Linked DNA regions of Astyanax mexicanus. The protein of the gene in region 2 interacts with the protein of the main gene of each other region in a pairwise test. Links are inferred from orthologs where the notes say so. Each region holds a gene or a part of one and is shown on either strand. Other genes may lie near its edges. The genes, in order: cep43, cep19 and calcoco1a.

Region 1 (3,756 bases), on a different chromosome or scaffold from region 2:
ATTTGGGTTAGCTCTACTTTAATAGAGTAATTTTTCCGATTATTTTTTACTTCTACTCTTTACATTTTCACACAGTTATCTGTACTTTCTAATTTTTACATTTTTAAAATAGCCTCATTGCTCCTATTTCATTTAAGCTTGTTTTCATCTGGCTTCTTATGGTTCAAAAACAAAATTAAATATCCAGATAAAATTCAGCAATTAAATGAATCGAAAAACATTAATGTGTATCCTTGATGCAGAACAAGGTCACCATGAACAATTGCAAAAAAAGGTGCGCAGTTCAACCATGTTTTCACTTAATGCCAATTTTGACTAAAACTCTTCAGCCTGTCATTGTTCTCCCTGTCATGTATCTAACTATTAAAGGGTGGGTAAATGCCTGCAAGTGAAAATAAAATGTTTTTTTTATAGTCTTTTTTGCAACAAACATGTAAAATAACAAAATACGTGATGTTTATTGTAATGGATGCAGGGTCTGAAAGGGCTAAAGGAATATCTCGGACAAGAAGTTTATTGTTCTTTTTAATGTGATTCACCCCCAATTATTTTAGACTCACTCGCGGGCTCCCTCTAGCGGTTAAATGGGCGGGGACTCGGGATATGAGCCTGTCAATCATGTTTTGCATTAACCAATTAAATCCTTGCTCTTAGCCATCAAACACATTTTGCATTGTGGAATTGCAAAGCAGATGCGACCTATCCATTATTTTGTGCATCAGCCAGTCTAGATGTTGTTTGGTTATTTAACGCTTAAATCTGATCCCGGTTGTTTTTACCTGTATATACATATGCTAATACTAAGTAACAGAGGCTGATGCATCTAACTAAATATGCATTTTAACACTTTATTTACAGATTTATGGGAATATTATTAATCATTTAATAAATTAGAACAGAAAATTGTACATTTGGATGTGTCAAACAACTGTTAATCAATGAAGATAATTTAGCTGTGCATTCTTACATTGACAAGTGGTTTCCTGACATTTCTATCTTGTAAACATGGTATGGTTTAACATAAGTATAAATCTTCTCTGTTTTACATTGCATCTGCAAAATAACATAAATACGACTTGATCAAGTTAATGATGTTTTCTTGACCTGAAATAAAGGCAAGGCAATATTTAAGGCACTTATGTGTACATGCAATATTTTGAACAGAACTGTGCTCTTACCCTGCTAATTGAACCTTCACACTCTGAAATGCGGCTGGGAGTAAACAGGATTTTATTGGAATATCTGAATTTTTGGCTGTGTGTGATAGTAATGTTATGAAACGTGCTGAAAGTGAGCGTTGTGATTGGCTCAGTTCAACGGTAGTCAACATCCTATCTAAAAGGGATCAGCTGTCCCATTTCCCCAATTACAGCTCCTTCCCTCCATTCCTCCTCCTCCTCTCCTCTCCTCGATTCCTCCACCTTCTTCCGGGGTAGGAGAGGAGGAGTAGGAAAGGAGGGGTAGGAGAGGAGGAGTAGCAAAAGTTTCTGGACGCAGCCATAGATTCTGGGGCAGATTACAGCGGAAGTAGGGGTCAAACTTGGTGATTTAATTAACTTGCGTTAACGTTGACAGCCCTAAGCAGGTATTTTGCCCTGTACTGTTACTAAATTATATCTCTGCTGTTTGTAACAAACCAAACCGTGGTAAAATCGGGTAAATATTGGTAGAGTTGTGATTTTTATATGTGTATTAAACACCTTCCTTAGTACTAATAAATGCACTGGGTCGTAAGGTTGACTCCTCCAATATGGCGGCCACGATGACATGACAGGAGGCAGGCTCTGCGGCGTCGTCACACATACTACCGGCCGGTTCACCTCAGCTGTAATGAAGACAGTCCGCCGGCAGAGGGCGCCGCGTGGTCACATGACAGTGGGGTTGAAGATGTCTGCCACGGAGGAGGACACGGAGCTGAGAGACCTCCTGATCCAGAACCTGGAAAACAACGGCGTTTTAAACAAGATTAAGGTACTCCTGAAGCTACAGCTGGTGATAGTGGAGAGTTTTACTGAGGCTGTGTGTTGACTCTTAGTGAGGTAACGTTAGTTCACTCTAGTACAGCAGTGAGAGCTAAAGTTTTGGTTAGCTTAGCTTAGCTACAGCTGGGTTAGCCTGCTGACTAGCTGAACTGTAGTGTCAACAAACTGTAACTATGAGATAACCTGAAGACCTGAACCACTGAGCTCTCCCCCGAACTCACAGATTGAGTTCTTCTCTAAACACGGGCTAGTAAAGAACGTGTGTATGTGTATGTGTATGTGTATGTCTGTGTATGTCTGTGTTTGTGTGTGTGTTTGTGTTTGTGTTTGTGTTTTTTCTGTGTGTGTGTGTGTGTGTGTGTGTGTGTGTGTAAACGTGTGTGTGTAAACGTGTGTAAGTTAATGTGTATAAAAAATATGTTAATTCTGGTTTACTGAAGTGTGATCTGAGTGTAGCCGGTGTTGTTCTGCAGGCTGAGCTTCGAGCTGCGGTGTTTCTGGCTTTAGAAGAGCAGGATAAAGTGGAGGTAAAGTGGAGCAGCAGTCTGAACTCTAACTCACTCAACTCTTCTCTATAAATCACTGTTTATCATAAGCTTCTGTACTGAGAGCTAGCTGAGTGATATGGAAGCCCCATCCTGCCACCTAAAATAAAAATATATATATTTTTCATTATTTCCAGATACTATCTCATTATTTTGAAATTGTAAGTCGTTATTTTGAGATACTATATCATTATTTTCGTCTGTATCCGTGTTGTTTTACAGATGTCTGCAGCTGTTGGTTAATAAAGGATTCCACTTCAGCTATATTTGTGTAGTTTTTCCTCCTTTCATAGCTGGCTCTTCTATAGCCTTCTCTCCCAGGTCCGGAGGTTTATTTTGATATTGTTTGATTCCTCTAAAAGCACCAATATTTCATGATTTGTAAATCTACATCTAAAGTAATCCTCAATGATTGTACAATGTTGCATCTTTGTCTCACCTGCCTCTGTCTCTGTACAGTGTGTTAGTATCTCAAAATAATGACTTACTATCTCAAAGTAATAAAACATGATTTCAAAATAGTGAATAAGTATTCCATAATAATGTCTTACTTTTTCAAAATAATAAGATAGCAGTTTACTTTTCTTTGTGGTGAGAAAAGGCTTCCATAGGGTAGCAACACATCTGTTATATGAGTATGTAATATGTATTAGATATTAATGTCTCCTTCCTGTCCTCTCTAGAATAAAACCCCACTTGTAAATGAAAATCTAAAGAAGTGTCTGAACACTAAAGATGGTAAGTGAAGCTGCAGGGCTGCTGTTCTCCCTCACTGTTTCTCAGAGCTTTAGCCTTGTTTATAACTGGGGTCCTTCTCTCGCAGGACGCCTTGTGGCCAGTTTAATCACCGACTTCCTACAAGTCTTTAATTTAGACTTCACTCTTGCAGTCTTTCAGCCAGAAATTAACACGGTACAGTATATGTTCTGTTTTATTACCATGCTCATAACATTCAAACCAACTGCAGAATATTGTGTATATCACAGTTTTTATTTATTTATTTATTTAATATCAATGTGTTAAAAATAGAACGTAGTAAATATACTAAGATAGTTCAATGAACTCACCTAAACTACTTAGTGTTCAAAGAGATATTTCCAAATATTCTATCGCATAAGACACAAGTTTAATATTACATTACAATATGTCATCATTGAGGCATTTATGTCATCATTGAGGCATATTTATGTCATCAAGGCATTTATGCCTTTTTTTAATCTGCAACATTT
Region 2 (3,756 bases):
TGTGTGTAGTCTCTCCAGCTGAGCCAAAGGGACAGATTCCAGGTACAGACTGTGACGGGCATGGTGCTTCAGTCTCTCAGCTGCTCTGCCACAGTCTGAGGAGAAAAGTTAATCAAAGTGAATTTTTTTGATTTATACACATATGCTAGAAGTCATGGGACAAGAAATAGGATAGGGTCCCATAAAGTTTGCAACATCCCATAAACGCTAAATACTGCTAATGGGATATGTGTGTGCAGCCTACATAAGCTGAGCCCCTGAGGTAAGATTTCATGATCAATGTAAATACTGTGATCCCATGACTTTTGGCATGTTGGTGTATTTTAGCTAATGAAGAATTCACTGAATTACAAACACATGAATCTCATTATATTTCTTTTATGGGTCACCGTGACTGCAGCACAAATACAGAGTTTCAGATTTTATGTAATGATTGTAGTAAAATAGTAATAAATATATATTTTTTGCTGTACAGCATTTAAATTATGTCTTAAGTCGGTCTATTTTTTTCTAAAGGCAATATACACATATACACGATATTGCTTCTTATCACAACAATTGAACAAGTCCTACTTCATATGTTTATCTGAAAAGATTTTTGAATAACTTATTTTAAAACTTAACGATTAAAATGGGCATGTTACAGCAATAGAAACACTAAAATGTGACTGGGTTCAGTGTCTAGCAATATGAGAACAACAAACCTGAAAACTGAAAGAAGTTCCTCACTGGTATTACTCTTTTGCGCATCTTCTTTGTATCTTCACTTTCATATATGACAATAATTGACGGTGGCGCAAATGTCACTCCACATTTCTTTGCCTTTATTGACATTATGTGTCATTTAAGTGAAGTTATCTGTAAGAGAAAAGAAGGTGGTAAAAAAAGAAGGCTGTACTTTACTATAGCAATTGGCTAGTTTAGTAGAGGACATCACACAGACAGGAATATAGGAATACTATAGGAAAGTGAAATGCAATAGTTTGTTATAGAAGTAATTATTATACAGAATTAAATACATCTTATATTATCCTTCAGCAACAAGCTGCTGTGCCCACAGTGTGTGAAGGAAAGCGCATGGCCTTCCTTCCCTCAGTAGACAACACCCACCAAAATCTGATAAATGAATGCATTTACACAGTATAACTACTTACTGTTTTTTATCACCGACTATCACTTTATCACCGACCGCAACTGAGGATACTTTCAAAGTTTGATTGACTTTCATTTCTTCACAACTGATGCTCTCAAACACATATAATAAAGCAAGACATTCAAGTAGTTAAAAAAATAAAAACAATCTACAAGAAAACTTAACAAAAACTCTGAATTAAGCTGTCCAAACTTTTGAATGGTGCTGTCCCTGCTTTCTTTTATTGTTGTGCATTTAGACAAATGAAGGGTTATATAAACTAAAATGTCTGCGATGTACTTTTCATTTCTGTAATATTGCAAATTTCACTGCTGTGGGATTAATCAAGAATTTTTATTTTATATTTTTATGAGGATTATTAAAAACTGCAACGTTTGTCCCAAAATTATACATTATGCATTACAATCTCAATTTGATAAGTTAATTTGATATACAGCTCTGAAATAAATTAAGAGACCCATCCAGTTGTGAATCAATTTCTCTGATTTTGCTGTTTATAGGTATATTTTTGAGTAAAATTAACCATTTTTGTTTTATTCTATAAACTATGGACAACATTTATCCCAAATTCCAAATAAAAATATTGACATACAGAGCATTTATTTGCAGAAAACGAGAAATGGCTGAGATAACAAAAAAGATGCAGAGCTTTTAGACCTCAAATAGTGCAAAAAAAAGTTCATCTTCATAAGGTGTTAAGAGTTCCGAAATTAATATTTGGTGGAATAATCCTATTTTTTAATCACAATTTTCATGCATCTCCTCCACCAGTCCTACACACTGGTTTGGATAATTTTATGCTTCTCCTTGTGCAACAATTTAAGCAGTTCAGCTTGGTTTGGTGGCTTGTGATCATCCATATTCCTCTTGATTATTTTCCAAAGGCTTTTAATTTGGTAAAATCAAAGAAACTCATATTTTTTAAGTGGTCTCTTATTTTTTCAGATCTGTATATTTAAATTGCATTAATAAACAGAGTCTACTGAACTTAATTGTTTAAAGCCCATATTGCTGCTGTGCTGGAGATCACACTGCGCGTCTCTATCGGTATCTAGGCAACGGTTAAAACTCATAATAACAGTCACGTGTTTATATTTATCAATCTTACATACCTTCAGTTCATCATAGTTAAAGGAACCCGCAGCACAGACTGTTCATTTATGTAGAATAAAAGCTTAATAAGGGGGTTATTCTCGCATCTTTTTCGTGTCTTCTTCTTACAGCAGTCCCTCGGTCGTACGAGCGCCCGCTGTCGCCCAGCTCCCGCGCGGTGTTCTGTCGAGTTTTGCCACACAACGATAAGTGCTTCTTTACGACACTGCGCATGCGCCGACCAACATTTTTAAATATGTTTTCATGTTTTCTATGATAATTCCTTAAGTTTTTATTGGAAGCACTAAACAACACTGTAAAAACACTGTAAAAACACTGTAAATAAATATTAAATATATATATATATATATATTCAAATAATAATAATAAACTATACCATTTCTAATCACGCATATATGCAATTATCTTTTTAACTTCATCTAATACAGTGATTTAGCCTATCCACACATCCTACCTGGGCTTCTGATGAGAGTATTGTCTAATAAGGTTTCTAATATGGTGTTTTTTTGTTTGTTTTTAGCTGTTTTAACTTTTTAAAAATAAAATGGTACTAGGGTAGCACAGTTTGACAAGGTAGCACAATTCGACAGAACACCGGACACGGAAACTTGTTCACAGTGTTGTGAACAGGCTTCGCAGCATGAGATCTGAGAATGATTATTCTATATTTTTTCCTTATTGTGTTTTGTTTAATACATTGCGAGCACTCACAGAAAGGTAATAATAATCTACAGGACTGATAGGTAAAGCTGAAATACTTAACGCTAGCTTGGCTAGCTTTGTCTTATTCGGCCCTGTCGTTGTCAGCTAGTCAGCTAAGCGTTACCTAGGTTAGAAAGCTATCTAACTACAGCTAAGTAACTGTTTCCCTCTTTCTGCTGCTTTATTTATGCGTTTCTATGGGTTTAGCAGTACTCTTGATTTCTACTTAGATTTTGGAAATGTAATTTGTGAAAACATATTTTAATACTGGACTCTTATTATATAAATAGCGTACTAAACGGATTGAGGTCGCTTATTCTTCATAATAAAAGTCCGAGTTTATAATACCAACTTTGCCCCGTCCTCTGCACTGGAAACAGTAGTATTAGAGCCATTGAGGCAAAGTAACAGATCATTTACTAATTTAATGTAATTTAGAATACTTTCTCAAGTTTTTTTTTACTATATAGGGATGGTTTATGAAATACAAGTGTAAAATCTATAACATAATACACACAGGCTTCCAAAGTAAAATGATCCAATGCGAAAAATACAAATTAAATAGTTTAGTTAACTGTATAGTTATGTGTTATGTAAATTTCCTAGTAGAATATTAGAGTTTTTTTTCTGCACATTACATACAGAAAAAGGCATTCTTACATTTGTTCCATCACTGGAGATAATTCAGGTCTGAAAGGCTTAACAAAAAAAGTAAACAATAAATGTAAAAAAGGGGGGGGGGGGGGGGGGGAATGGTGAAGTCTTGTATTAAGGGTTGTAAAAGTGAA
Region 3 (3,756 bases), on a different chromosome or scaffold from region 2:
AAACCTTTATTAACAGGGAAATCAGTCGAATACAGCAAGAGCTCTGCATATAGAGCCAAACAAATCTTGTGACGGACATCAAAAATTAATTTAATCATTTAATACTAATTTAATGTTTGTCCTACCTAATGCACATCTCTTAAAGAACCATATTTTTTTTATATTCCTGAAATGTGTTTATTTGAAGTAATAAAACATATCAGTCCTGCTTAATTTTTTAAAAAACTTTCCTGACCTTTAAAAAACACTTTATTGTGGTCATTTCGGCCTCTGCAGGCGAGGATGATGTTTCTGTGTACTCACAATATGCAGATCAGAAAATCGATAAAAACAATAAGACAATCAGCTCTCCATCCAGCCCAGTCTCTAAACCCATACATCATCCAGTGCCCCTCCCAAACTACTCGTCCAAGCCTTTTTCAAATTATACATATAAACACTGATTTAAAAGTAATTTGCTGTATTACGAAAGACAAAGTACCAAAAAACTGAAACTCACAAACATTATAAAACCTAATTTATTCACTCGATACATTAAAATATGACCGATAGAGCTACACTGACAGGTATAAACGCTTTTAAAGCGCCAAATCTTGCGGCTGTTCGTGAAATCAATAATTACTTCATCTAAAAATGTCTGTTTACAGCACCATCAAAGAGCCGCAACATCATGGGCGGAGAAGGTGGAGACGGTGGAGAAGTTCATAAAGAGAATTCAGTCTAACATCTGTACAGAGAACTCAGCTAGATAACACACTGAACCCTATAATTATTATAAACCTTCAAACAACCACCAAAATAAAAGACATGAGGGAGGAAAAGACAGAAAGAACAAAAAGCCTTTCTCTCTCCAAATTTAAAACCCCTAAAGATCAAGTAAATGTATAAATATAATTATGTTATTAAAATAATACAGAAACTGGGGAAGCGCAGTTCTAAAGGCAACAGGTGACTGAATGAAAGCAATACAGTACAACAGAACCAACAGGCCAACAGGGCTTTAATTAGCAACAGGAAACGGAACATATTGTATTACAGGCCGACACACAGAGAACACTGTTAACTATGTACCGAGAGGCTATTCTGAATAATAGGCTGCTTAACAGAATACTTACAAAGTCACAAGCATGCAAATGAGATTATAGAGTATTATATTATATTATATTATATTATATTATACAGTATTCTCAGTATTCTTATAACAGTAATTATTAGCCTGTTATAAACATTTACACAATAACAGGGTTCTCACACCTAGCTATAGCTCTTCATACTGTCTTGAATATTGTTCCTAGCCCCTATTTTTAAGAGCAGTTTCTACTCAAGTCTTAAACAATTAAAAATATGTTTAATCTGATCAAATTTATATAGGATGAAATGACTTTTCAATATGTGAGACAATAAGTATGTATAATCAACATTATTGATTATATTTACTAACTGCTGCAGCCCTAAAGTACACCTAATTTTTATATTAATTTACAAACTGAATGAGAAGTTAGTACAGTCTTATCTTGTGAAAAAAAAGCCTTTTGAAGTCTTTTTTTTACATTTTGCTCAGTAAAATAAACAGATAAATTTGAAAGATATTAAAGCAAAGACAGAACGGCTGCTTATCAGTACTTAGTTTGGCTATTTTCAAGGAGATGCAAGCAGGAATAAGAAAGTTTAATAAGATCATCTTAAAAATGTTAAAATTGATCTAGCTAGCTAAACAATTAAGTCAAGTGGAAACAACTAAAATATCTATATCTGTATAGATACAGTAACCTAGCTATTGTTCTGCTTATATTGTTCTGATTGGCCTGCTATCTACAAAAAAGTCTGTGAGTCAGCCAATCAGCAGTGTTTTTTTTTTCCTTCTGGACAGGATGATGGGATGCGGTCAGGAGCATCATGGCTCCCATCAAAACTCATTTCACCTCAGACTACTCTAAAGTATATCTCTGTCCGTTAAAAGTATTAAACAATGAAAGCCTTGCTCGCTGTACAGTTTGTAATAGTGATTTTAGCATTGCCCACAGGGGACTAAATGATTGCAAAAGGCATGTTGAGGTGAAATAATGAAGTATAAAGTGTATATATAACTTATACCTCCATGAAATTATTTTTTGCAACTTGGAATGTCTCACTGGAAAATAAAATCAGGGATAAAAGGGTTAATCTTAATCTGGTCACCTATCTAGTAGATTAATCCTTCTGAACATCATTTCTTTGGGCCTATATGGTGCCTTTAACATCAGGACAGACTGTAATTAGCTATGTTAGCTAGGTTAACTAAATTACAGTTTGCACATGAGGCAAATGAGGAAAACACAAGGCCTAAAGCAGCCAGCACAGATGACCACAGGCTGCACGCAGCTTTAAACACTGATAAATACACTGATTTTACAACTGTAATCAATAATAATCCAATGAATAATCCGCAAAATTAAGATTATAACAAGCAATTCGTCAAACTGACCGTTTTTTCCAGCCGATATTCATTTTTTGCTGCGTGTAAAACATGCAGTCAGACTTTCTGCAGCTTTTTAACCTCTAATAAACTCACCTTATTCACTCTCAGCTCCTCCGCGCTGATTCTCCTCAGCTGTCCGGTGTAATAAACCCGTTCCGCGGCTCCAGCGGCTCCGTTTTCCCCCTAAAACGGCTACCCGTCCGCAGCGAGGCCGCAAGCGTTTAACAACAATAACAAAAACACAAGCATGGCTGTTTCCACGGTGCCGCTGCATCACGGGAAGTGTAGTTCTCCTGCAGTGCGAGACTATACAACACTGTCTTATAAAAACTACAATCCCCAGACAGCAAGAGGATCAGCTCCGTTCGGTCAGCAACGCGAAACGTCACGTCGCATGTAACAGCGGACTTTACTGTGATTGGCTGACGTTTGACAGACACCTCACATGACCCTGTCTCATTGGTTGAGATTTTGTTTCCTTCCTTTTTAGACCAATGAAAGCGGAAACGTCACAGCAGCGGCGTCCCCTCATAGCATTGAGGGTAAAAAGAAGACACGCACGCGCACGCGCGCACACACGCACTGGTCAACATGTGACGATTGCGAAGTCAGTGTGGGAACTTAAAGAGAGAGTAAATCCACAAAGTTAAATATCTAATTTAACCAGAATTAACGTAAAACTATCGTGTCCAATAAAAAATATGAGTAATGATATTTTATAACAACTTATTATACTTATATACATAACATATTATGTTTCTGTCCCCAGGAAATTACATATATGAATGTGCACACAAAATATTTTTTAAATAAATAAATGTTTTTATTAAGCACAGTGTCTTGTACATTGACCTAATTGCAAAAGTAAAAAAAGTGTAATAAAAAATATAATAAATTGTCCTAAAAACAAAAATAGCATTAGTTACCTATCCCCCACTTTTTAACTATAAACTTTACCATGAAATATTATTAATATAATCCTTCAGAGGTGTATATATTTTTTGCATTGTTGTGTGACTCCCATCAAATCCAATCTATGCTGTAAAAATATTTTTTTTCTCAATAATGCCATAATATTTAAGTTAAAATACACATTTTAGTCGTATCCTTGTTAAGTTTAATTTGGAACAGTTACAACAAGCAAATGGCCCTTATATAAAATAAGCATGTTAATTAATAGCCTCTTACTGGCAACATCTGGATAGAATTGTCTGCGCAGAAAGACTTTATGAAGTGACTGGCAGAAATCACATCCATATTCAATGCAGGTGGTCCCATATTTATACCCCATAGATCAG

Evidence for each region.
Region 1: the proteins of cep19 (region 2) and cep43 interact in binary tests that used the Homo sapiens proteins (3 or more experiments, as listed by UniProt). The two-hybrid records come from large-scale screens. The link is inferred for Astyanax mexicanus from reciprocal best matches to the Homo sapiens genes CEP19 and CEP43.
Region 3: the proteins of cep19 (region 2) and calcoco1a interact in binary tests that used the Homo sapiens proteins (3 or more experiments, as listed by UniProt). The two-hybrid records come from large-scale screens. The link is inferred for Astyanax mexicanus from reciprocal best matches to the Homo sapiens genes CEP19 and CALCOCO1.

The regions. Positions count from the first base shown.
Region 1 is NC_064408.1:75,014,913-75,018,668, reverse strand, and holds the start of cep43 (FGFR1 oncogene partner), read left to right. Parts: upstream 1-1,422; 5' UTR 1,423-1,585; intron 1,586-1,735; 5' UTR 1,736-1,767; coding exon 1,768-1,971; intron 1,972-2,455; coding exon 2,456-2,509; intron 2,510-3,210; coding exon 3,211-3,265; intron 3,266-3,350; coding exon 3,351-3,439; intron 3,440-3,756. UniProt on the Homo sapiens protein: Required for anchoring microtubules to the centrosomes. Required for ciliation.
Region 2 is NC_064423.1:28,867,807-28,871,562, forward strand, and holds the start of cep19 (centrosomal protein of 19 kDa), read right to left. Parts: upstream 2,441-3,756; 5' UTR 2,266-2,440; intron 859-2,265; 5' UTR 835-858; coding exon 705-834; intron 96-704; coding exon 1-95. Other genes in the region: pigx (phosphatidylinositol-glycan biosynthesis class X protein), read left to right, coding at 2,920-2,983. UniProt on the Homo sapiens protein: Required for ciliation. Recruits the RABL2B GTPase to the ciliary base to initiate ciliation.
Region 3 is NC_064420.1:1,180,793-1,184,548, reverse strand, and holds the start of calcoco1a (calcium-binding and coiled-coil domain-containing protein 1), read right to left. Parts: upstream 2,727-3,756; 5' UTR 2,552-2,726; intron 1-2,551. UniProt on the Homo sapiens protein: Functions as a coactivator for aryl hydrocarbon and nuclear receptors (NR). Recruited to promoters through its contact with the N-terminal basic helix-loop-helix-Per-Arnt-Sim (PAS) domain of transcription factors or coactivators, such as NCOA2.